2 linked regions of the Rhinolophus ferrumequinum genome follow. The protein of the gene in region 2 binds, or shares a complex with, the protein of the main gene of each other region. Links are inferred from orthologs where the notes say so. Each region holds a gene or a part of one and is shown on either strand. Other genes may lie near its edges.

Region 1 (12,410 bases), on a different chromosome or scaffold from region 2:
TTTTTGAAATCTGGTGATTCTGCCATCATTGATATGATTTCTGGCAAGCCCGTGTGTGTTGAGAGCTTCTCTGACCATCCTCCTCTGGGCCGTTTTGCTGTTTGTGGCATGAGACAGATAGTTGCTGTGGGTGTCATCAAAGCAGTGATCAGGAAAGCAGCTGGAGCTGGCAAGGTCCCCAAGTCTGCCCAGAAAGCTCAGAAGGCTAAATGAGTAGCTTTTATCCCTAAAACCTGTCACTCCAGTCTTAATCAGTAGTGGAAGAATGGTCTCATAACAGTTTGTCTCAATTGGCCATTTAAGTTTAATGGTGAAAGACAAGTTAATGATTACAATGCATTGTAAAACTTTCAGAAGGAAAGGAGAATGTTTTGTAGACCATTTGTTTTTTTGTGTGTTTTTTTTTTGTGCTTCAGTTTTTAAGTTATTAGTTTTTAATGGAAACAACTTGACCAAAAATCTGTCACAGAATTTTGAGACGCATTAAAAGGAAATTTAATGAGAAAAAATAGCATGAAATGTTTTCACAAGTCCAAATCAAACACTTCTCAATTCATTCTACGAGGACGATATTACTCTGATACCAAAATCAGAAAAAGACAGTAAAAAGAAAGAAGGAAAACTACCGACCAATATGCCTCATGAATGGAGACATAAAAATCCTCAGCAAAATACTAGCGAGTAGAATTCATAGATACATTAAAAAAAAAAAATTATACACCATGACCAGTTGAGGTTTATCCCAGAGCGGCAAAGCTCATTCAATGTATGAAAATCAATCAATGCAATCCACCACATTAACAAGCAAAAGAGGAAAAGTCATATAACTATATCAATTGATGCAGAGCAAGCATTTGACAAAACCCAACACCAATTCATGACAAAAACTCTCATAAAACTAGGAATAGAGGGGGAACATCTATAGAAGACATATGACTAACATCATACTTAATGGTGAAAAACTGGACACTTTCCCCCTAAGATTGGGAACAAGGAAAGGATATCCACTCTTACTGCTGTTATTCAACATAGTATTGGAATGTCTAGCCAGTGCACTATGCAAAAAAAAAAATAATAATAATAAAAGGAAAGAAAAGAAACAAAAGTCACACAGATTGGGGAGGAAGAAATAAAACTGTCTCAATTTGCAGATGACATAATTGTCTTCATAGAAAATTCCAAGGAATCTACAGAAAAAAAAAATCCAATAACTAATAAATGAGTTTTACAAGGCTGCAGGATATAAGATCAACATACAAATCTCTACACAATTTCAAGACTTATTATATAGCTACAGTAATCAAGACTGTGTGGTATCGGTAGAGGAATAGACACATAGATAAATGAAATGGAACAGAGAATGCAGAAATAGACTCACATAAATTTGCCAAATTGGGTTTTGAAAAAGGTACAAAAGCATTTCAGTGTAGGAAGCACAGTCCTTTCAACAAATGGTGTTAGAGCAATTGAACTTTCATAGGCAAAACAAAAAACAAAAAAAGTTTAACCAAAACCTCACATCTTTTACAAAAATTAACTCTCAATAGATCATATATGTATATGTAAAATGTAAAACTCTAAAACTTATAGAAGACAACATAGGAAAAAAATATTTGATACCTAGGACCTGGTGATGAGTTCTTAGACATGACACCAAAAGCACAAGCCATAAAAGAAAAAAATTGATAAATTGGACTTCATCAAAATTAAAACTTTTGCTCTACAAAATATCTTGTTAGAAGTGTAGAAAGACAAGCTACAGGCTGGGAGAAAATGTTTGCAAGCCACATATCTGCCAAAGGACTCGTATCAAAAATATATAAAGAACTCTCAAAACTCATTAGTAAAAAAAACAAACACTATTAATCTAATTAGAAAATAGATAAACTACATGGAGAGTCATTTTGCTGAAGAGGATATAGAGGCAGCCAAAAAGCATATGGAAAAATGTTCAATATCATTAGCCATTAGGACAATGTATATTAAAACCACAATGAGATACCAGTACATACTTATCAGAATGGCTAAAATTAAAAAAAAACAACGCAGAATCCTCACATCGATTTCAGGACCCATGGAAGGAAGGAATCATGGCAGAAAGGCCCAAGTGGAAACCCCTGGAGCTCCACCTTCCTACCAAAGTATAAGTCAAAAGAAATATCACATACTTAGGGGAGAATGTCAAAAATTAGTTTCATTATCAAAGACTTGAAAAATGCAGGGAAGGAAATTCCTATCACATCCCCATTTAATTCACCAGTTTGGCCTGCACAGCAGTTAGTTAGGTCTTGGTGAATGTGGCAGTTTTGAACCAGGGCTCCAAAGTTCTTTGACACCCCTCGTGGAGAGGTGAGGTTGATGCCCCTTTCACTTGAACCTGGGTAGGCTTTTGACTGCTTCAACCATACAATACAGCAGAAATGATGCTATGAGACTTCCAAGGCCAAGTCACAAAAGGTTATGCAGTTTTATGCTTTCTCTGCCCTAACACTTGCTTTTGGAACCCTGAGACACCGAGTACAGAGTCTGACAACTCTGAGGCTGCCATGCTGTAAGAAAGTCCAAGCCACATGGAGAGGCCAAGTGTAGAAGGTGCCCCAATCCAGTGAAACCTGGTCTGCCAGCTGAATTCTCAGCACAACTGCAATCTGTCAGCATAACAAAATATTTGTTTAATGATACCAAGTTTTGGGATGGTTTGTTATTCCATTGATAGATGATGCTGAGGAATTCAAAGAGGATACAGTGGGAATGTCTTCTCTCTGCTCCATAATGTCTGATGGCTCGGCTGAGATGACTCAAGAGCCGAGGGTGACTGGAGGGCTGGAGGCTATAATAGTCTGGAAGCTTCCTCACTCACATGCTTGTTGCCTGTTCTAGGATGCCTATTCTGGCTATTTCATATGAATGGAATCATACAATATTTGTCCCTGTGTCTCTGGCTTATTTAATTTAACATGATGTTTTCGAGGTTCCTCCATGCTGTAGCATGTATCAGTACTTTTTTCCTTTTTATGGCTGAGTAATATTCCACTGCATCGATAGACCACATTTTGTTTCTCCATTCAACTGTAGATGAAGATTTGGGTTGTTTCTACTTTTTGGCTACTGTGACTCATGCTGCTAGGAACATTCCTGTACAAGTCCCCAACATCATGTTTGAGTCCCTGTTTTCAAATCTTTTGGGGTATATACACCTAGGAGTAGAATCACTGAGCCATATGGAAACTCTGTTTAACATTCTGAGGAACTGCCAGACTGTTTTCCCCAGCAGCTGCACTGCTGATGCTGGGATGCTGCTACTCATGCCTGACTTTAAGACTTGGTTGGTCAAACAATGCCTAGTGTATGATGTGCAGCTCAGTTCATAAGACCACTTGTATTAGATGGTCAATCAGGAACTAAAGAAGTCAGGAACTTTTCTTCCCAGCAAATTGGTGTGTGTGTGTGTGTATATACGTGTGTGTGTGTGTGTAGGTCTTAGCTTTATTTTTATCCCAATACCAGAGGCCCGAGCTATGATTTTCTAATCAAGTCATAGGAAAGGCTCTGTGTAGCATCCTTACAGGGAATGCCACGTCCAGAAAGACGCCCACCAAGCATTGTGTTTCTTTCTTAGTGACAGTAGGTTTGAGGTATAGCAAATTGCTTCTCTCTTCAGAAGGACCATCTCAATATGCCTCAGCCTACTGGATACCTAGATGTGTTGGGTTCTTGAATTTTCCTGGGACCTATCTCTCATCCTGTGGTGAAATATTTGCTACTTCTTAGCATTAGGCCCAATCAACAAGTCATCAATGAAGCAGACCAGCATGATGTCTTGGGGCACAGTGAGATAAAGTCAGTCCCTGGGGACTTAATTATGATAATGTACCAGAGAATTGAAGGGACAGTGCTGGGGGGGGCCTCCTTTTGACCTTTCTTTGTATACTTGTCTTCAGTCCTTGAGTCAGGAAGCCCCTGTGGGAATTCTTCTATCTGCTTATTGTGTTTATTCCAATTCTGCAATCAGGAACTGGGGAAAGAGCCACAGGGGTGCCCACAGCAAAATAGAGATAGATTAAGACTCCATTTCTGACTAGTGGACTACAGTGGCATTCTATGTCCCCAGGAGAAAGTGGGAGGAAGGTTTAAAATACAGTATATACTTGTAGTGTTATGGGTATCTGGCTTCCTCTTTACTTGAGGGCTCTGAGCCTGTGGACTGATTGGGTCTCGGAATTAGATGAGGGGCCATGATTTTCCATTGTGGTGATTCAAGGCAGGCTGCCATTCACCAGAACTAGAGATTCTGTTGTTGGTTGTAGGGGTTATACAGACCATGGGCTACTATAGGTAGCCTACTAACAGGACACCATGATCAGTTAACCACCCCAAAAGATCCATGGGAAGTAACCATTCTGGTTCCAACTGTCAGTCCTGCTGCCTATCATGATACCCATCCTATTTCCGAGAATTAGTGCCACCACTTGCAATGTTTCCCACCTCCTTTCCCCAACTAGTTTTCCAGAACCTTTACCAAATTTTGTCCAAGTGTTTTGGTGAAAGGAATGTCCTTTGAGCCCTCTCAGGGGATGTCATTAGAGGGTGTGCCAGTGGGATGCACATAAAAATTCCATTCCAACATTCCAACCTCCCTGAGAATTGGGACTGGAGACAACGAGGGGTGGAAGGGGTGGGGCACAAGGAGAATTGGCATTCCATTGCTCAGTAACTGACCAGCTGATTTCATTACAAGATCTCCAAGAAAGGCAGGATCAGCCTCATCAGACAGTGGGGGAGGAGCTGCTTCTGCTGGTAAGGGAAGGTCCATGGGGTTTCTAGGTTCAGAAAACATAGATTCATTCAACAAATTCTTACTGAGCATTTTCTAGGAGCTGGATATATAGCGGTGAACAGAATAGACAAAACTTTCCTGGCTTCATAAAGCTAATATTCTAGTGAAGAGATAAATAATAAGCCAGGTACACTTAAGGAACAGAGAAGAATGTGCCTGGAGTAGTCCTGAATAGCCAAGAGGCAGTGTGGTGTATTAGTTTCCTAGGGCTACCATAACAAATTACCTCAAACTGGGTGGCTTTAAACAACAGAAATTTGTTTTCTCACAGTTCTGCAGGCTGGAAGTCTGAAACCATTCCAATCTCTTCCTCCATCTTCACATGGTCTTTGTCTCTTCTGTGTGTCCTTGTCCTTCTTTTCTAAGAACACTTGTCATGGGATTTTAGGTCCACCTGGGTAATCCAGGACGATTTCCTCTTGAGATACTTAATTACATCTACAAAAACCCTTTCTCCAAATAAGGTCACATTCATAGGGTCTAGAAGTTAGGACATATCTTTTGGGGGGACCACTTTTTACCCCGCTAAACAAGGGAAGCAGAGGAGAGACACGGCCTGAAGGGCTTTGACCAGAGGCATGGCCTGACTTACAGTTTAATGGCTCTTTCCAGCTGCTGTGTTGAGAAGACACTATAGTTGGAAAGAGTAGAAGCAGAGGGAACTGCAGGAAGCCACTGAAAAAAATCTAGGAGAACCATAAGGATGGCATGGACTACCGTTGAAAAACAATCAGGTTCTGCATCTCTTTTGAAAGCAAAGCTGACAGGCTTAGCTAACAGATCTGTTGAGTGTTGGAAAAAGGTGAAGCCCATAGAACCATCAGTGAATACCTCAAACTTATTCAGCCAAACATGTATCAGTGAAGTATTACAAAATAATGGGGCAAGTAGTGAACTACTCATGGATTGGTTGATACTGGGGACTTTGGTTATCTATAAAAAGTCAATTTAGATCATTATTATTATTATCTTGGCATACACCAAAATAAATTCCCGATAGATGAAAAGTTACATGAGGAAAAACTAGTCATCAGTCTTTTTTTTTTTTTTTTGCCACAGTAAAATGAAAGTGCAAAATTTCTATTATTTGGATGGTGGAGGAGGAATGGAAGAAAAGCAGTACCTGTCCTCTTTGTTCAGCAGCAACTCATTAGAAAAGATTATTGACAAACGATTCCATTTAGAATCGCAATAAAGAATCGAATAACTAGGGATCAATCAAGTCCACACTTGAGACGGAAGAGCGAGAAGAGAGAAGAGCAAAGACAGAAGGGAAGAGGGCTTGAACCAGAAGCTGCTACTTCCTGGCTGTCCAATTCCGCAGACATTAGTGGCCTGTGACTATAGAGCACTTGCCAGGGACACCCGTTCGTGGAGTTCAAACAGAAGTGTACTGTAAATGTAAAACACATCTGAAAGACTTGGTACAAAAAAAAAAAAGTAAAATATCCCATTCGTAATGTTGTGTATTGCTTATATGTTGAAATGATATTTCGGATCACAGGGTTAAATAAAATTCGTTATTAAATTTCTTTTCCCCGTGCGGCTGCTGGAAAATTTAAAAATTCACGAGTGGCTCGCACTTTATTCCTATTGGCCAGCGCTGCTCTAGCTGGATGGCAATTGCAAGCAGCAAAGGGCTTTCAACCTCACAGTGGCTTAACGTCTTTATATTTCAATCGGGACTGATCAGACAACAACCTTAAAGGGTTGGCGTGAGGAAGCAACTTGCTATAGTTAACAGCGTCCTCAGCCAGGTGTCCACACCCGGGTTAAACCCAGTAAAGGTAAGTGAACAGCGGCCGGGGCCACGCCCACAGACTATGGGCCGCCAAGGGGAGCTAAGTTTGGGATCCCAGCCGGGGCTGCCAAGGGAGGGATCCAGGCCCAAAGCACTAGCGCACGCGCATGCGCAAGCGCGTCATCCCTGGGGCCGAGCCAGCCAGATTGTAGAGGCGTCCCGCGCGCGCCCCAGATCCGGCCCCTTTCTCCTGACCCCGCCGCACGTCGCGGCACGCACGGGGCGGTGCAGAAGTGGGCGGGGTCTAGCGGCGCGGCCTGAAGGCGGCGGGAGTCTGTAATCCTTCTCTTGGCGGTGGCCCACGCGGCTCGCACGCTGTGTGGGCAACATGGCGGACATGGAAGGTAGGGGACGCTTCCTCGCGTTTGGTAGGGCCGGGTGTCTCCGGGTGTCTCCGGCCGGGGCCAGCTCTGCTTGCTCGGAGGGCCCAGGGAGGTGGACGGCGTCGGGGCCCGACCTCTGCTCGTTCCAGCCGCTGGATTGGCCCGGTCGCCGCCGGGCTTCCTGCCGGCTTTGCTCCTTGGCTTTGGCTCTGCGGGTGAGGGCAAAAAAGCGGGAGGCGCTCGTGATGAGGTGGCGCCGCGAGGCCCGGGCTTTCCGCTGATGGCACAGCCCCTTTAGGGCCCGGGTCGCCATGGAAAGGCGTTGGCCGTGCGGGGGACCCTGCGATGGCAGGAGACCTAGCAGTACCTGTGCCGCCGGTAGCTCAGACGCCACGGTCTGCGCCACACGATGAGGAGAGGAAAGGGTAGTTGGAACGGGCGTGGAAGAAAAGGGGCCGAGGGGCTCCAGCGTGGGCGTAGGTCCAACAGGCAAGAAAGTTCAGGAGGTCACAAACACGAGCGGACAGTCAAGCGATCACTTATGGAACTTTCCGGCCTCGCGGGCCGAGCGCTTCTGCGGCGTGTTTAAGCCCCGCCACGGCCACGTGGTGAACCGATCGGAAGCTGACATGTGCGACTGCTTGCAGTCAGTTACTGAGCCGTGCAACCCACGTATTTGGCCTTACACAGTTTGTTTTCCCCAGTAATTCTATGCCAAACATCCATTTAATACCTGCCCTGGTTTCAGTCTCTATTTTAAACTTTGTTGCCTTTATTTGCGGGGATAACTCCCAAATTGGGATTTGTTTGTTTGTGTGTTTTTAGTGCTTATTTTGCCGAAGAAGCATAAGAAGAAAAAAGGGGTGAAGTCATTACCAGAAGAAGATGTAGCAGTGAGTAGGAATATGTTTTACTTTGTTTTGACTAAAAAAGACCACTTAGACAACAAATTACAGAAAACTTTTCTAAAGGTTTTAAAGAAATTTGGTGGTTGTGTAGAAACTACACAACCCCAGCCAACCTAAGCGTCTCCTATGGGGTAGTTTCCTAAATGGTCTTGGTCTCGCCAACCCCTTTCCCTGCAGTTTCCTCTCTTATCCCACCTGCAGACCCACTATCCCTCTTTCTCTTTAAATAGCTGTATCCATCTTGGGGGCACTTAATTTAACCTTCTGACATCCTGGCTCATTTCTGCTCTTTCCCTTGGAGGGTCTCACTGAAGAGGCGTAGACTACCTTGTTTTCTATTGAAACGGCATAGGCTTCTGTGGTAGTAATGGAATTGTTCAAAATCAGGTGGGAAGTCTAATAGGGTATGTTTCTGTCCCATGGAAGGAAATACAACACGTTGAAGAATTTCTTATCAAACCTGAATCCAAAGTGGCTCAGCTGGACACATCCCAGTGGCCCCTGTTGCTAAAGGTATGTGGTTAAGATTGTACATCACGTGAGTGCTTAATACTGGCATTCTTTGCTAAGGAAATGCCCGGTGATATGGTCTAAAGCAGTGTTCCTCAAAGTGTCTGAGATGAAGGACCAAGTTAGTATTTTTATTTCCAATGCACCCAACACTGTCACAGTATACATTTAAAATGTTGAAATGACATCGAACTGCTCTCAGAGTTTATAAACAATTAGTTCTTCAGTCCCTGTACTTAACGCCACCTTACAGACTCGTGCCAATTTGTGGGCCACGCTTGAAGTAGGACTGCTTTAGTGCTTGAGAAGCATGGGCTTTGAAGCCAGACCAATTTGGGTCAGGCAGTGTGTGAACTTGGGCCAATCATTTAACCTCTTTGAGGCTGTTTGCTCATAATAGCTTCTCTTAGTAAGACAAGCTGAGGGCTGTGGGAGGTGATCCATGAAATGTGTTTAGCCAGTGTCTGGTGTGTAACATGTCCTCTAGAAATTATTGACTGTTGTGTTGGGCTGTAAATAGAGTAGTAATGATTTGATTTACAGGTTTCACAAATGATTTAATGGGCACCAGCTCTGAGATTAGGAGACAAGGTTAAGGGAGACAAAGTTACTGAGAACACCCCTTGACCAAGTATTTTAATAAAACGTGTATATAATGGCAAAAGAATGAGATTTGCTTATATAATTGAACACAGTTGAGTTTCTGCTTGACCAGATGTATCTTCCATTTAGATAGCATCTGCTTTTCTGTTGTAGGCCCTGGGAATATGTCAATGAACCTGGTAGGCAAAGTCCCTATTGTCATGGAACTCAGAATGTAGGGGTGGGTAGGTGATAGTTTAAAAAATAACTGCTCTTTGTGTAAAAAATGATTGCTATTTGTGGTACTACCATGATGAAATGAAACTGGGTGATATGAAAAATGGGCTTCAATTGAGGGGAGCTCCTTCAGACCAGTGGTTGAGCCTCAGAAAGGAGGAGAGTGAAAAGGAGCAGACATGAGAAAAAAAGAGCTAGGAGCTTCTGGAGCAGTAACAAGCTAATTATGTTTGAGAGATATTGTTGCCAGTCCTCAATTAGGCTATCTTTTGTCCCTGAGAAAATCAAAGCTAGTTCATATTTTATTCGTAAAACTGCACAGTGATGCCCAGTCTGCTCTGTGGTACCCCAAGAAGTCTCTATTAGGTCGGTGCAAAAGTAATTGTGGTTTTTGCAATTGTTTTTAACCTTTTAAACTGCAGTTATTTCTGCACCAACCTAATAGAAGAGTGATCAGATTTGCCTTATTTATTTATCCATCTATCCATCCATCCAGAATGTGTTTATTGGGATGGTTCCTCATCCTGATTCAGGGTGCTTTTAGTGCTGCTGCCTTCTGAAGCAGCATCCTTCTGTAAGCCTTGCTTTTCCTCCTGTAGGCTCACAGAAGACAGTGGAGCAGCCTGCACACAAAACTAGTGTTTATACATGGCTAAGGACAGTGATTTTATAGCCTCCTGGGCATTTCACAGCCATGAAGGGGAGTTGGGGTTCTGCCCCAGGTGCTTTTTCTTGCGTTCCTCTTCTCTTCTGGAGAGGATGTTCTCATGGGGAGGTGGTCAGGAAGAAATTTGTCTTTTTCTTACTCGGGTGAATTTTCCAGTATGTAAGCAGATTTAGTCTGTCACAGCAGATAATGAACATATAGGAGCAACATCCAAGTTTGTGTACAGTAACAGTAACCATGTCGCGGTTGGTGGTAGTGCTAACTCTGGTTTTACATATATTAATGGCTTATTAAGTTTATTTTGTGTTGTATCGTTGCTTTCTAGAACTTTGATAAGCTAAATGTAAGGACGACACACTATACACCTCTTCCTTGTGGTTCAAGTCCTCTGAAGAGGGAGATTGGAGATTATATCAGGTAAGTGTTGGATCAAGCACTGTTCAAACTTGAGTTCTGTTCACAATAACCCGTTCACATCAGTTATTCAAGGAGGTAGTGGTATCGTAGAATGGCATTGCCCTAAACCGCATAGAACCTGTACCCATGGTCAACTCTTAATTTTTACTCTTCAAATTTAGTTTTTATTAGAGGATCGGAGCTGATGGCCCAGTAATTTCTTTTCCATTCTAGGACAGGTTTCATTAATCTTGACAAGCCCTCCAACCCCTCTTCCCATGAGGTGGTAGCCTGGATCCGACGGATACTTCGGGTGGAGAAGACAGGACACAGTGGTACTCTAGACCCTAAGGTGACTGGCTGTTTAATCGTGTGCATAGAACGAGCCACTCGCTTGGTAAAATCACAGCAAAGTGCAGGTACGTGGAAGAGGTGGCTAACTTGAGACTGGAAGGCTTTGTGCATTTCCTTTCCCTTCTACTTACGTGTTGGCTCTTGGAAATTATTTCTTTCATAATAAAAAGACCCTAAGCAGGGCTACTCTTGCTTTCTGTTCATCTTCTGTCCTCTGCCGGACCCTGGTTTGCCTTTCTTGGAGTTCCAGGTACTGTGTGCTGTGTGCACACTGAGGTAGACCTGCGTCCGACCAGCTCTTAGTTTATCACTCCAGGCTCCTGAACTCTGTGCTGCCGCTTCGGCCTGAAGTGCCTTTCCCTCATTTTCATCAGGGAATATTCTCCTACTTGACCTTGCGAAGTTTTTTCCAGGCAGGCTCTACACTGGGTACTCCAGCTGTCCCTGTGAGCACACTGAAACTTGAACCCTGATGAGAGAAAGTGTCTTTATTCCTTTCCCATGTCTGTACCATGCAATCTTAAGGAGGTCAAATTGCCTGCTTTTCCTGCTGCACAAAATGGGAGTGATATGAGTATATAAAAATACAGAAAACTCAGTGGCCGCACCTGACTACTCTTTTGTCATTTTTTCAGGCAAAGAGTATGTGGGAATTGTCCGGCTACACAATGCTATTGAAGGGGGGACTCAACTTTTTAGGGTAAGTCTGTAATTGTAGGGAGGGCATCCTTTGGCAGTGTGGATCTCTGAGCCCCTAGACATCTGGAGACAGGTCAGCTTTCCTGGCTGGCGTCTCTTGTGCCCCTTTCAGTGGGCTGCCTTAACCAGCCTGGACAGGTGACTACAAATGGCAGGGGCACTTCCGGCCATGTCCCTTCTGAGGAGAGGGTTCTGATCAGCACTGAGCCATCTCTGTGTGGTTGAAGAAAAGCAAAAAGCATTTTAGATCTTAAATGATTGAAAGAAACCTGTGCATTTCAGTTGTGTGCTTAAACTCCCATAATGTGCCCTTTGATCTTATTTGAGAGTCCATGCAATGAGAGTCTTTATTGTGGTTTGTGCTTATTCTCAGGCCCTAGAAACTTTGACAGGTGCCTTATTCCAGCGACCCCCACTTATTGCTGCAGTAAAGAGGCAACTCCGAGTGCGGACCATCTACGAGAGCAAAATGATCGAGTACGATCCTGAAAGAAGATTAGGTGGGTCATTAGGCCTATGAGGAATTGAATTAACATAGACGGGGCGGTGGTGGTGTAGGAACGCTTCCTTGGAAACTGCTCTGTTGGTAAAAGTCCATGCCCTTAGTATATGGTGCAGTTGTGGCCTGTGTCTGTCGTCTCTAGTCTCACTGGCTCAGGTCTGGGTTTCTCAATTGGTGGTGTGTTTACTTTGGAAAATATTTACTAGTTTTGTGTGTGTGTGTATGTGTGTCTTAGGAATCTTTTGGGTGAGTTGTGAGGCCGGCACCTACATTCGGACGCTGTGTGTGCACCTTGGTTTATTATTGGGAGTTGGCGGTCAGATGCAGGAACTTCGGAGAATTCGTTCTGGAGTCATGAGCGAAAAGGTACACACCATGGCGGGACAAGAAGTTTTAGAGCTGGTACTTAATATAGTCTATCCCAGGGTGCAACTCTGTCTGCTTCACGTCCTGGGAAAGGCAGTTTCCAAAGTGTTGAGTTCAGTTCAGGGCAGCACCCCCTGTTCTGTTAATTAAACTTTGGGACATTGAAACAGGCTAGGGAAGATGATTGGATAGAAAGCATTACTCTATTCATTTACTTCCCAGCCTACA
Region 2 (12,863 bases):
CTCTGCTCAGCGCTTTTCAAGGCTGTAATCAAAGTTCCAACCTGCTGTGATCTCATCTGGTGCATAGGGGCCTCTCCCAAGCTCATTCCTGTGGTTGGCAGGATTCAGTTCCTTATGGTTTTAGGACTGGGTCCCTGTTATCTGTCAGCCAGGGGTCCTTCTCAGCTCCTGGCTGCTACTCTTTGGTCTTTGTATGTGGTCTCCTCCATCTTCAAGCACCAGCTTCAAATCTCTGACTCCCCTTCAGCCAGCAGCCAGAGGAAGCTACTAAGTGTGTTGTCCACTTCTCTGTTTTCCCACAGCAGCCTGCATAATCTTCCAAAAGCACAGAGCTACCCAGTTAGCCCCACTTAAACTCCTGCAGTGCTCCCCACCCAGTAGCCTCAAGATCTAAACAAAACTCCGTCAAGTTCATTCCTTCAAATGTTTTCTGAGCCCTGACTCCCTGCCAGGTACTGAGATCCACAGACAGTCTCTACCCTTCTGGATATCTCTGCGTTGTGGGACAGAGGGACCCCAACAATGAATACGGCTGCGATAAGCATTGATGGTGGCCATCCAAGTGGGCGCTGCTACTTGGCCCCTCCTGCCCTGGCTCCCTCCTCACCTCCAGGAATTTCTAGCACCCCCCCAACCCCACCCAGCCAGTCTCAGTAGGAGGCAGGTTTTCGCAGATCCTTTCCCAAGTTCCAGTTCTATATTCTTAGAGCTCCCAGTGCTTCCCCAACATGGAAAGCAGCACCAGAGTTCATATGAAGCCTCTGGGGAGGCCAGGCCTTTCTCTAGTTCACCACTGCCCCCCCCCAATGCCTAGCACAGTGTTTGACACATTCCAGATGCTCAGTCCATTTTTGGAATGAATGGCAAGTCCAGTAGGTGACTGTGGAGACCCAAACCTCCTCAGCATTCTCTCTACTGACAGTTTGCCTACTCCACAGACACTGCTGGCAGAAAAACTCTGGCCACCCAGAGTTCAAGCCCATGAGCACCACGCTGGCACCCTCTGCCCTGGCCTTAGCTGTAAATTGTGGCTGGCACGCCAGAATGTTGCTGCCTGGGGACCAGCTATGTAAGGAACGGAGCTAGCTCTATGGCATGAAGTCTGGCAGGCCTACCACTGTCAATTCCAGGAGGCCTAGGAACAAGGAAGAGATTTTCTGGGCACAGGAACAGAAAATGTGCCCATCAAGCATTTACTCAAGGATCCATTAAACAGTGGGAGGCAGCATGGTGCCCTAGAGAGGGGGCAGGTTTTGCGAACACACACACACACACACACACACACACACACACACACACCCCAACACCTCACCAACCTTTACCAAACCTTAAGAAAACAGGAGAGAGTCTTCAACAGAGGAGAAACTTCCTGAGTTTTGAGAGCATGCAAAGCCAGTGACAGATGAAAGCCAGTGACAGAGGGTAACAGATGAAGCAGGTGGCAGCAACCCAGGAGAGGTCGCAGGGGGCTGCAGAGGCGAGCAGGCCCCCACAGGCCCCAGGACCATGGGCGCAAGAGTCTGAATTGAAACAGCAATGGCACAGGTACCCACCGCCCCCTCCTCCAGGCAGCCCCAGACAAAACACCCATCTGGGAAAACTGCATTTTCGGTAGGAGTTGGTGGCCTGAAGGAGAGTCTACCCCAGGCTTTCATTGGGGACTGGGGCTGATGACAGACTCAGTGGCCATCGCCTCCCCCACCCCCCGGTAACTGGAGCCACAGCCCACAGCCCACGGCCCACGGCCCACAGCTTCCACACAAAGTACCCAACCAGAACACAGAGCGCCTCATGGCACTGCCTCAGCCTCCCATCTGTTAAGTGTCTGGGTTAGGCAGTCCCTGGGGTCCATGGGACTTCTAAAAGTCCAGTCCTCCCTTCTAATTTTATCTCCACCAGAAATCGGAGCCATATGCAGCTGCCCACTCCAAGTCACTGGCTGGGCAAGGGGAAGGGAGAGTCAGCACTGATGCCCAACGTTAAAAACTGCCCAGTGGCAGGACACAAGGCCCTCCAGGTCCAGCCCTCTGACCTATCACTACCCATACCTGTCCAGATGGCCCACAGGACTGGCTCAGCGTCACCTGATCCCATAGTCACACAGGGAGTTCCAGCTCATGCCCTCAGAGTTCCCAGGGTTATGGATCCCCTAAGAAGATCTGTTCATGTCCTCACTCCTGGTACCTGTGATGTGACCATATTTGGAAATAGGGTCCTTACAGATGTATCATGTTAAGATGAGGTCATTAGGGTGGGTCCTAATCCAATATGACTGGTGTCCTTATAAGAAGAGGAAAGAACGTCATGTGAAGACAGAAAGAAAGTCATGTGGCAATGGGGGCACGGACTGATGTGTCTACAAGCCAAGGAGCACAAGGGATTGCTGGCCACACCAGAAGCCAAGAGAAAGGCATGGACCAGATTCTCTCCTGGTGCCTGCAGGGGAAGCACAGCCCTGCTGACACCTTTATTTTGGACTTCTAGCCTCCAGAATTGGAGACAATAAATTTGTGTTGTTTTAAGCCCCCTAATTTACGGGACTTTATTAGGACAGCCCTAGGAAACTACTGCCACCAGTCGGTCCCCATAACTGATTGTTGAACAATTGAATACACCTGCCCACTCTCATGAATCTATCATCATGAGAGAAAGGAGAAGGGAAGCAGGCCCGCCCCTCACATTGGAGGGGTTCAGGGCAAGAGCACAGATGGAGCCCCTGACCTCCCCCTTCTATTTCTACCTGCCCCATTCTGTTCTGTACAGTGAGGGACCCACATGCACATGTGTGGATGCCCCAAGCCAAACGTCCATGCTCTGTCCACGACCCACCCACCCACACCTTGGCCTCCCTTCAGACCTCCAGGGACAGCTCTCCCTCTGAAGAGCAGATGGGAGAGAAGGCTGGGCCGGCCCTGGTAATGGCCTCAGTGCTGGCTGGACAGGGAATTCCTGCACCTGGAGGACTGGGGAGGACAGGGACATGTCCCCTTGGTCTTGTAGAGTCCTCACCCTGACCCTCTAACGCCCAGGGTGATGCCCTGTGGCTCAACGAGGAACCTCCACAACCAGCTCATGCCGCCACGCAGGGCCTTTCCAGGAAGCAGCATCTCATTCAATTGTCATCCCATTTGGAAGGTGAAAAAAACAGAAGCACAGTAAAACCAAAGCGCCGGTGAAGTGGAACAATGTGTCCAACGCTATAAAGCGAACAAACTGGGAATCTGGAATCAAATGCTGGTCTGTTTGACTCCCTTCCTCTGTCCACACAGCATGCTTTCCCTAGACTTGGTTTAAATTGGTAAACTGCCAAAGCCCTATTAGATATTAAAAAGTAAAAAACAAACAAACAAACAAAAAAAACAACCAAATTTGACAAACCAAGCACTACATCCATCAAAACAATTTAATACTAAAGAAAGAATAGAGAGGCTGGAAATGGACCCAAACACATATTAGAATCTAGTACACACAGAGGCATTTTAAATGAATGGATAAAAAGAGAAAGAATTCAATAAATGGCAGCAGGACAATGGCTAGCCATCTGGATTCGAGCTCACGGTTTTGAGCCCTGCAGACCTGCCTTTCTCCTAACACTCACATTAAACCTGATGGATCAAAAATGTTTTATATAAACAGTGAAACCACACAAGCACTACAAAAATTTCCTTCAAATACAAAAAGCTTTTCTAAAGCGGTAAGAGACACCCTATAGAAATACTATACAAGAATAAAACGGGAGTTAACAGAAAAAAGAAACACAAATGACCTGTAAAAATACGAAATACCCAGCTTCCCTCCAAACTAAAGAAATGTAAATTAAAACAAGACATCATTTCTCCCTATTGGATCATCACCACTCCTCCTCCCAGTAAAAAAAAAGGGTTGCTAAAACCCAGTCTTGGCAGGCCATGGAGAGATATTATTATGGTAACTGTAAGTCGTACCTTTTTAGAGGACAATTGGACAATACTGCATATACCAAAATTATAACGTTAGGAATTTATCCCTGGATACACTCACAAAAGTAACAAAGAGACTGCATAATATTCATTGCAAACTTATCCAAAATAGTAAAAACACACTAACGTCCATAGTAGGGCAGCTAAATAAATTGCAGAAATCCACATGATGCGATACGATGGAGGCATTGAAAGATTTATCTCTATGGTGGAAACAAAATTTTCCCAAAATATATTAAGTGGACATAAATTGCCAGAACAATATGTTATACTATTTAATTTATGTAAACAAATAAATATATATATACTTGCACATGTACACAAAAAAACCTAATAGTGAATACCTCTGGAGAGCTTAAATGGGAGCAATAGCGCTTAAGGAGGATGTTTAACTTTTTGCTTTATACTGTTATATACTACCTGAAATTTTCTTAACATAAACATTGTCACTTTTTATATAATACATTTTAAGATCCAAAGCCAAAACAGTGACCCTAAAGAAGCCCATTTTTCTGAAGTGCCACCCTGACTATTCGCAGCTGTGCTTGAGGAAGTTTCCATCTTCCAGAATCCCACTTGATGGTCCCTCTCGCCTTAGAATCTGGCCCAAAACTCAGGTCTCATTTCTGGGAAGACGCCAATTGCCACTAAGGAAACCAGGGGGGCATGTAGGTTTCCATCCATCATCTTGACTAATACTGACATAACTGGCCTACAAAAGAATTAAAATAGATTTCCAATAAATTGCATAAACTATATATAATTTTATTTTTTCTTCTACTTACCTGAACTTCAGCTCCTAGAGTAAGCATCTATTAATAGCTTATTGATAAGTAAAAAGTCAGAATACTCGTCCTCAACTAAAAAATGGGCAAAGGATTTGAATAGGTATTTTTCCAGTACCATGCAAACATCCAGTAAGCACATGAAAAGTTGTTCAGCATCATTAGCTATCAGGGAAATGCAAATCAAAACCACAATGACATACTACTTTGCACCCACTAGGATTGCTATACAGTAATGAAAAAGTCAGATCGCAGCAAGTGTGGGTGAGAATGTGGAGAACTGGAACCCTTGTACACTGCTGGTGGAAGTGTAAAATGGTGCAGCCACACTTTGGAAAAACAGCTTGGCAGGTCCCCAAAAAGGTAAACATGGAGTTACCATTTGCCAAAGCCGTTCTTCTGGGTATGTATGGAAAACGTGCCCACACAAAAGTGTGTACATGAATGTTCACAGCAGCACTGTTCACACCGCCAAAAGGTGGAAACAACCCAAGTGACCATCAGCAGATGAGTGGATGAAACGGGGTTTTGGACTGTTATATAATAATGAAGCACTGATTCAGGCTACGACACATGGGAACCTCCAAAACATTATGCTGAGTGAGAGAAGCCAGACAGAAAAGGCCACACAGTGTGTGATTGCATTTCTATGACGTGTCCAGAACACGGATATCTACAGAGACAGAAAGTAGAGTAATGGTTTCTTAGGCCTAGGGAGGATGAGGGGGTCAGAGGGTGATAACCAAAGGGTGTAGGGGTTCTTTTTGATGTGATGCAAATGTCCTAAAATTGATTGTGGTGACAGTGAATACCCTGAAACCACTAAATTGTACACTTTAAGTGGGTGAATTGTATGGTATGTGAATTATAGCTCAATTTAAAAAAAATCATCCTCCTAAATTTTTTAAAAGATGAGACCTTAGTCCATCTAGGTCTAACTTTCTCACTTTAGAGACTAGGCACTGAAGCCCACTGAGTTGAATGGCTTGCCCAAAGCCTTTTGTCATTTAGATCCCTGGTCTACTGCCTATTGGTCATTATGTCCTCACCCACTCTACAATGTTTCAGGTGAGCTCCAGTGGCCATATGAACACAATCAGTAAAGTCACATAAATCACCATGAATCTGACACACGTCTATGAGACTGGTGTTAGGAATAGACGGTGTAGCTTACTGAGGACATATTTGTTCTTGGCACTACCTTGTGTTATCGCTCAAAAAGCTGACACTTGTGACCTAGTCAGGCCAAGGTTCCCACACTTTCACTATCCAGCCATGTTTCATGACCTTTGAGCTAATATCGAATGTCAAGTCACAGAGCCTGAGCAAAGCACAGGCTTGGAGACAAGCAGACCTGGGTTCAAATCCAGCTTTGTGTGAGCTAGACAGAGCTATTCACCTTTATAAGCCTCAGGAAATAAATAAGGTATTCCTTGTGGGCACTTGTGGGCACTGGGTGAGATAGTATTACATATGATATGCTTGGCACATAAATGTTATTCCTTCCTCCTTCCGTATAAGAACTGAGAGGCCTTTATAACCGAGGCCTTGGTGAGGTCAGTCAAGCACATTGCTTGAGTTGGGTTTTCTGGGGAAGAAATTCTCCTCTGGACAGAGTTCATTGTGCCCCATAAACCCATCTAGCAGCACTTCTTCCCTCGGTGACCCTGGCACCTGTCATCTGTCCCACAATGCTGAAAACGTTGACAGGAATACCACTCAGAGAGAGAACACAGAAAAGCGCCCTGAGGCAGAATCCTGCCAGCTGTGTGCTCAGAGGCACTTGGCTTCCCAGGGAGGGCCAGGACTGCCACTGCAGGGCCCAGGAGCAGGGACAAGTCGGGGAGGGCTTGGGGTGGGCAGTCAGACAAAGCGGACCACAACCCCCAGTCCTAAAGCTGGTCCTAAAGCGTAGGAAGAGCTATCTTTTCTCAAGAAGTTCCAAAGTGAAAACATGTAAAAGATCAATTTTTGGTTACATTGTGCATACAAACTTTACTTTCAAATTATTTTTTATTGTTTATATACCATATTTTCATTGTTCAATTGATATGTGTTTATATTTGTGAAATTAGTTGGGGTCTAAGGTTAGGATGAATCGCATCCTGATTTTTCTTATTAAAATACCAAATTTAAAAACCTATTAGTAGTTTATTTAATGACTGCTTGCAGGGTTAAAAGGTAAAATTTTAAGTTGGCTTAACTGACCTGTGATCCCACGGCCACCTTGCAGACTTCTGAAGTTCCACTTTCTGGCTGTTCCACCATCACAGAAATGGCAGGCCTTCCACTGAATAATCAAAGGCAATTAATTTGTAGCAATTATCTAATTAATATCCAGCCAGTGTTCCTAGACACAGTGGAAGAAATATGTTGGAGATACCAAGAGCCACCCCAGTCTAGGCCTACTCTCCTCCCCAGCGTCACTGTCCACTAATCTTCTACAATAACTGCAAAATGGGGGCCTACTCAGAGCTGTCCCCACGCCACTCCGGAGTGCGGTTCCCAGTGTCCACGCAGTTTTCCTCCTCACCCCGCTAGCTGTCACCACTATGCCCTCGGTGTTATGAGGCCAGGCAGCGGTGGGAACCACGAGGAAAAAGGTTAGGGGGTGGGGGAGGGAAGTCGGCGGGGACTGCAATTTTAGATAAGGTGGTCATCAGGGACCCCCTCCCATGAGTAACATTTGAGCAGATCCCTGCGGGAAGAGGGAGAGATCTTCGGGCTCCCTGGGGAAAAGCGGCCCAGACCGAGGCGCTCCCTGAGTGGCCATCCATCCCTCGGCAGGAAAGTGAAAGCAGAGTGTGAGAAATGGTGCAAGAAAGCAGGAAACGATTAGCAGTGTCAGGCTTTACCTGAACCTTGGCACCTGGGGTACACCAACCAGGACCAGCTCAGGTTGCGCACTGCCCATCTAAGGGGGCAGATTCTACCGCGGTTTGGAATCGCACTGGGCGGACCTCGCATTCTCCCACCCAGCTCGCAGACGCAGCGATTTGTCCCTTTAGACGTGGTCACGCCCCGCAGGTACCGCCGCCTCCTCCCGCTCCCAGAGCGTACAGGTGACGCCAAACTCCGACTAGCCCCAGCTGGTGCCCGGGTCCCTCCCCAGCATCCCGCCTCCCTCCAGGACCCACCTCCCTCCAGGCCCCGCCCACGTCTCCGGTTCCTTCGGGGCCCGCGGATGACAGCCCGAGCCCCGCCCCTAAGCTGAGCAGGAACAATTGGTCTGAGTCCGAGCCCTCACTTCCTAATTGGTTGTGCTGTTTGACACGCTTCCCCAGAGCTGGTGACCGGGAAGTGATTTCTAAGACTTGGGCCGCGTGCATCGCTTACTGGGGAGTCGGTAGCCGCGACCGCTGCGATGACCAAAATAAAGCGAGATCCAGATGAGCAGGAGGCTCAGCCGGAGGCGTCCTCCGGGGATCGTACTTACCACGAGCTGCTGGTGAATCTGAACCCCATCGCGCAGCCCCTGGCTTCTCGCCGCCTCACGCGGAAGCTCTACAAATGCATCAAGAAAGGTACGGCGGGCGGCGCGGTGGCGCGTGGGGGCGCGGGTGGCGGGCCGAGGCCCGCGGACTGACTCTTCTGTCATTGCAGCCGTCAAACAGAAGCAGATTCGGCGCGGGGTGAAGGAGGTTCAGAAATTTGTCAACAAAGGCGAGAAAGGGTAAGAACCCCCTCCCGCTTGATTTTGCATTTCCAAGCGGTAATGAAGGTATCCCTACTATTTAGTAGGTGCTCGGTGAAAATCGGGGTAAGTGCTCTGACTCTATTAGAAGATAATCAAGCAGTCAGTAAATTCTCTTCAACACAGCTAACCTATACATCACCTAACTTACCCAGCCCAAAGGGACACCGCGGGGAAAGTGAATTCCGGGGAAGCGAATAGGATAAGCGAACTCTTCGGGTAGACCCGGCTTCATTCTTCATTCAGCGACTGTTTATTGAGTTTCTACTCTTTCAGACACTATGATTTTAATCAAAGTAAAAAATTGTAATAGGTTAACTATGAAGAAAAAGTGCTTTTGTGAGAATGATTTCCTTACCCTACATCTTTTCTGGCATTTATCAGAATCTGAAACTCATTTGTATTCTTATTCCATCTCCCAGTCAGGCCAGACAATAGGCTCTTTGAGAGAAGAGGATAAAGCCTCTCCCTGCTATATCCCCAGAAGTGTCTGGTACCTTGTAGGTGCTCAATAAATAAATATTGCTGGGGGGACTTGATGCTCAATGGAGCCTGACATAGGTGGGGGTAGCTGAGATCTGAATATATGGGATTAGTGCCGGGGGGAAGGGTTCTGCCAGAATAGGTCCCAGGGCAGGAGAGGGGAGGGGTGGACAGAGTGCCACCTTTTCATGGAGCTTTGTAAGCCGTAAGTTTTTGTACTCAGAACTTTGGGGCAACAATGAGGGTTAAAGCCAGGAAGTGACATAATTATGTTTATAACTTAAGAAGATTTTTCTGGCAACTTTGGAAAGGATCAAAGGTGCAAGAGTATATGGGGAAATTGAAATAGGAGGTTACTGTAGTCTAGAGGAGGTGAAGGATGATTTTGATTAGGTTGGGTATGGTGAAGATGGAGAGAACTAAAGTGGATGGATCTGAGAGGATTTTCAGACATGGAGTGAGGAGGTATGGGTTCTAGCTGAACAGACAGAGGGCCCACTCATTGAAACAGTGAGCAGTGGAGGGGACGGGCTTTGTGTAGGAAGATCGCGTTTGGTTTTAGGCAAGTTTTCAAGGTCCCTCTTAGACTTGTGACCCCTCTCCCCAGCAAAACTGTCAAACAGTCAGGTGGTTATATGGGCTGCAAGCTTAGAAGAGGGCCAGGATGGAGAGAATAGATTTGGGAGTTGTCGGCACATAGATGGCACTTGATGCCACGGCCACAGATGAGGTCAGAAGGTACTGAGAGGGCAGCCAAGGACCAGGTGTGAGGAGCACCAGGCTACTCAGAGGAGCCTGCAGAGGAGAGCCCACAAGGCAAAAGGCAAACTAGGAGAGTGTAGACCCAGTAGTTTGAACCAAGAGCTCTTTCCTGGTGTTTGTGGTGCTTGCATCTCACCCCTGGAGAACAGACTCTGCCTTCTGTCTTCAGGGCTCTGGAGGCCCTTGCCCCAGAGTGCCAACACCTTGCCAGCTAGAAGCCCTAGCTGAGGAATCTGGCAAGCCCTGTCAATTTGGGGACTCAGTGCATGCTTCTTAGCCTGGCACTCAAGGCCTTTGTGTGTGGTCCCTGCCAATCTCTCTAGCCTCGTCTGCCCGTCTCCATCCTGGATTCCAGAGCCATCCCAGGCTGCCATCAGCCAGCCTCTGTGTGTCTGGTGCCATTCTGATTCTCCTTAAATGCTTTCTCTGCCCCCTGCACTCCCACCCCCACCCCCACCCACAGGGCTGCCTGGCAGACATTCATCATCATTCAGCTTTCTGTTCAAGTGTGGCCTCCTGATTCTTCTTTTAGCACTTTCACAGGTCCTCTCCCAGGCAATGGGGCCAGGATTTGGTAGCTGATGCTGAAAGAAAACCCTTGATTGCATACTTGCCCTGGGGCTGTGCCAGTGGCACTTTCACTTAATGGGACAGAGACTGTTCTGTGACATCTTATTCAACATTGTGCCTTTCTCTCTGTGGCTCTAACCTTAGGTCTTCTCCCTTTTCATCCTTTGCTACACAATAACAAAATAAAAAGAAAATAGATAATAATAAAATAAATATTATTTCTCCTCCAAAAATAAATAAATAAATAAATAAAATATAAAAAAGAAAATAGAGATCATCTCTCCAGAGGAACACAGTCACCAAATACAAATTTGCACGCACTTTCAGAGGTTGGGTGACCCACGTTAATAACTGGGCTCCTTGAGGGCAGGGGCCATCTTACCCATGTCTGTACCCCCCAAGGCCCAGTCCACAGGTGGTACTTTTGACTGAAGAGGGAATGAGCAAGCTAGAAATGACAGTGTTTCTCCCGTTTCAGGATCATGGTTTTGGCAGGAGACACGTTGCCCGTTGAGGTATACTGCCATCTCCCAGTTATGTGTGAGGACCGGAATTTGCCCTACATCTATATCCCTTCAAAGACGGTAAGGAGCCCATGAGCCTGACCTTAATCCCCACTGGAGGGGGCTGGGATAGGAGCTGCGGCAGCAGGCCAGTGGGAAAGAGTACAGGCTCTAGAGCTAAGACGGGCCTGGGCGGCTTCTTGGCTGTGGCCATGCTAGTCCTGTTAGGTGGGTGCAGTGCTCAGAGGGGGTGTTCTGGGAACCTCACACATCAGGAGCCAGGTCTAGAGCACAGGGACTGGGGGGATGGCAGGAACCTGGAAAGCATAGGCCTTGCCGAAGGGGACAGCCCCTGCTGGGCTAGAGCCTTTTCACAGCTGCCACACGGGAATGTAAACCCAGTGTTGCTGGACCACTTGAAAGTTTGCTGAGTTTAATTGATGGCAACCAATTTGAAATGTTTTTAAATATAATGATGACCAAATAGCACACATCTGTGAGCCAGATTAGACTGGTGGGTTTGTGACTTCCTGGCAAACAGCCCTTCTGTCTTTTGCAGGACCTGGGTGCAGCCGCAGGCTCCAAGCGCCCCACCTGCGTGATAATGGTCAAGCCGCACGAGGAGTACCAGGAGGCCTATGAGGAGTGCCTGCAGGAGGTGCATGCCCTGCCCCAATCGGTGTGACGGACCTGGGCGGCAACCTGGGCACCTGCTCCAGAAGCTGCTGGTCTGGCGGCGAGCTGGCTGGCTACCCTCCTGCTGCCCACTCAGCATCTCCCCAGCCCCTTGAGCACATGTTTTTTCCCAGGAAGCTCCAACAGTTATTTTGTGAAGGCAAAGCCATCATCTTCTCCATAGTGCTGTTTCCTGATGAATTTCCTGGCATTCATTTCCAGAGACGAGGTGTGGGGGAAGTAAATGCTCACACTAAAATGTGATGCGTCTGTGGGTGTTCTTTCAAGCAGCAGCTGCTGGTGGGGCCAAGGAGTTGGTGGGCAGGAAAGAGTGAAGCAGCCTTTCTCACAGAGTGTTCAGTGCCAGTGCCCAGCCACCAGGCTGGTGTTAGACTCAAGCTGAGAACGGACTATTTGCTGCCCACCCTGAGCTTTTACCTCCCACTTCCAGAGTAGGTGGGAGCTGCAGGATAAGGCAGCTGAGCCCAGACCCCACTGAGCAGAAGCCTGCAGCCCCTATGAGGACACCCCAATTCCTCTTCTTCCCCCATGAGCCTTAAATGCCACTGAGAAGCTTATAAAAGCAATTTACCCACCCACACAGGGCATTTTAAATAGGAATATGAAGCTAAACTCAAAATCCCAGGCCATCTCTTCTGCTTGGTATAATGGCCCTGATAACCCAGACCCTCCACACATTTTAGACTAAAGGTACCCTCCTGCTCTCAAAGGCCCAGCACAGGACTCCGTACACACAGCAACCAGCCTTTAAGCACCCTGGAATAAACTGGAAAAAGCTTGGGCCTGAGGGTCAGATCTGCTTTAAACCCCAATCTCTCTCCTTTATAAGCTGTGAGCCCTGTTGGGCAAGTCATTTCATCTTCCCAACCGCCCTGCAATGATTTCTAATATGCGGGAAATGATATTTTATGTATGTATATATAAAAGCACCCTGCCCAGAGACTGACATCTCCCAGCTTTTTCACCCAACCAGAGACGTAGGTTGGGTTCTGCCTGACTGGGCACTGGCTGCCACGTTCTCCCAGCAACAGGCGCCAAGCCATTACCTATGTGCAGTGGATAGGTAGTAATTCTTTGTCAGTGAAGCTAAAGGCAGGCAAGGAAGAAGGCCTGTGAATGTACTTGCTGAAAGCTATAAAACAATAGCATTCAGTTCTAACCCAGACTATTTACAGTGGGCGATGGATACATACAGTTGTGAGGCTGTACAGTGAGAGGAGTGGGCACGGCACTGCGTGGCAGTAGGAACTGGCTGAGGGCAGGGATGGAAGACGTCTGCTGCTGCCAAGTCAGTGACAAATATAAACGGAGACAGCAGGATTGCAGAGGCCAGCATCTCACCCTCACAGCCAAGGAGCTGGCTGCCCGGTGCAGGTTGGTTCATCAACCTCCTTGGCCCCTGCCCGTGGTA

What was found.
Region 1: NHP2 (region 2) and DKC1 share a complex: the UniProt entries of both Homo sapiens proteins name them as parts of the H/ACA small nucleolar ribonucleoprotein (H/ACA snoRNP) complex. The link is inferred for Rhinolophus ferrumequinum from reciprocal best matches to the Homo sapiens genes NHP2 and DKC1.

Annotation. Positions count from the first base shown.
Region 1 is NC_046284.1:5,795,408-5,807,817, reverse strand, and holds the start of DKC1 (H/ACA ribonucleoprotein complex subunit DKC1), read left to right. Parts: upstream 1-6,800; 5' UTR 6,801-6,966; coding exon 6,967-6,982; intron 6,983-7,786; coding exon 7,787-7,854; intron 7,855-8,295; coding exon 8,296-8,382; intron 8,383-9,738; exon of another isoform or gene 9,739-9,894; intron 9,895-10,190; coding exon 10,191-10,282; intron 10,283-10,495; coding exon 10,496-10,680; intron 10,681-11,250; coding exon 11,251-11,315; intron 11,316-11,687; coding exon 11,688-11,814; intron 11,815-12,051; coding exon 12,052-12,182; intron 12,183-12,280; exon of another isoform or gene 12,281-12,410.
Region 2 is NC_046307.1:4,926,996-4,939,858, forward strand, and holds NHP2 (H/ACA ribonucleoprotein complex subunit 2), read left to right. Parts: upstream 1-8,017; 5' UTR 8,018-8,108; coding exon 8,109-8,268; intron 8,269-8,347; coding exon 8,348-8,417; intron 8,418-10,211; exon of another isoform or gene 10,212-10,339; intron 10,340-10,731; coding exon 10,732-10,837; intron 10,838-11,315; coding exon 11,316-11,441; 3' UTR 11,442-11,690; downstream 11,691-12,863. UniProt on the Homo sapiens protein: Required for ribosome biogenesis and telomere maintenance. Part of the H/ACA small nucleolar ribonucleoprotein (H/ACA snoRNP) complex, which catalyzes pseudouridylation of rRNA.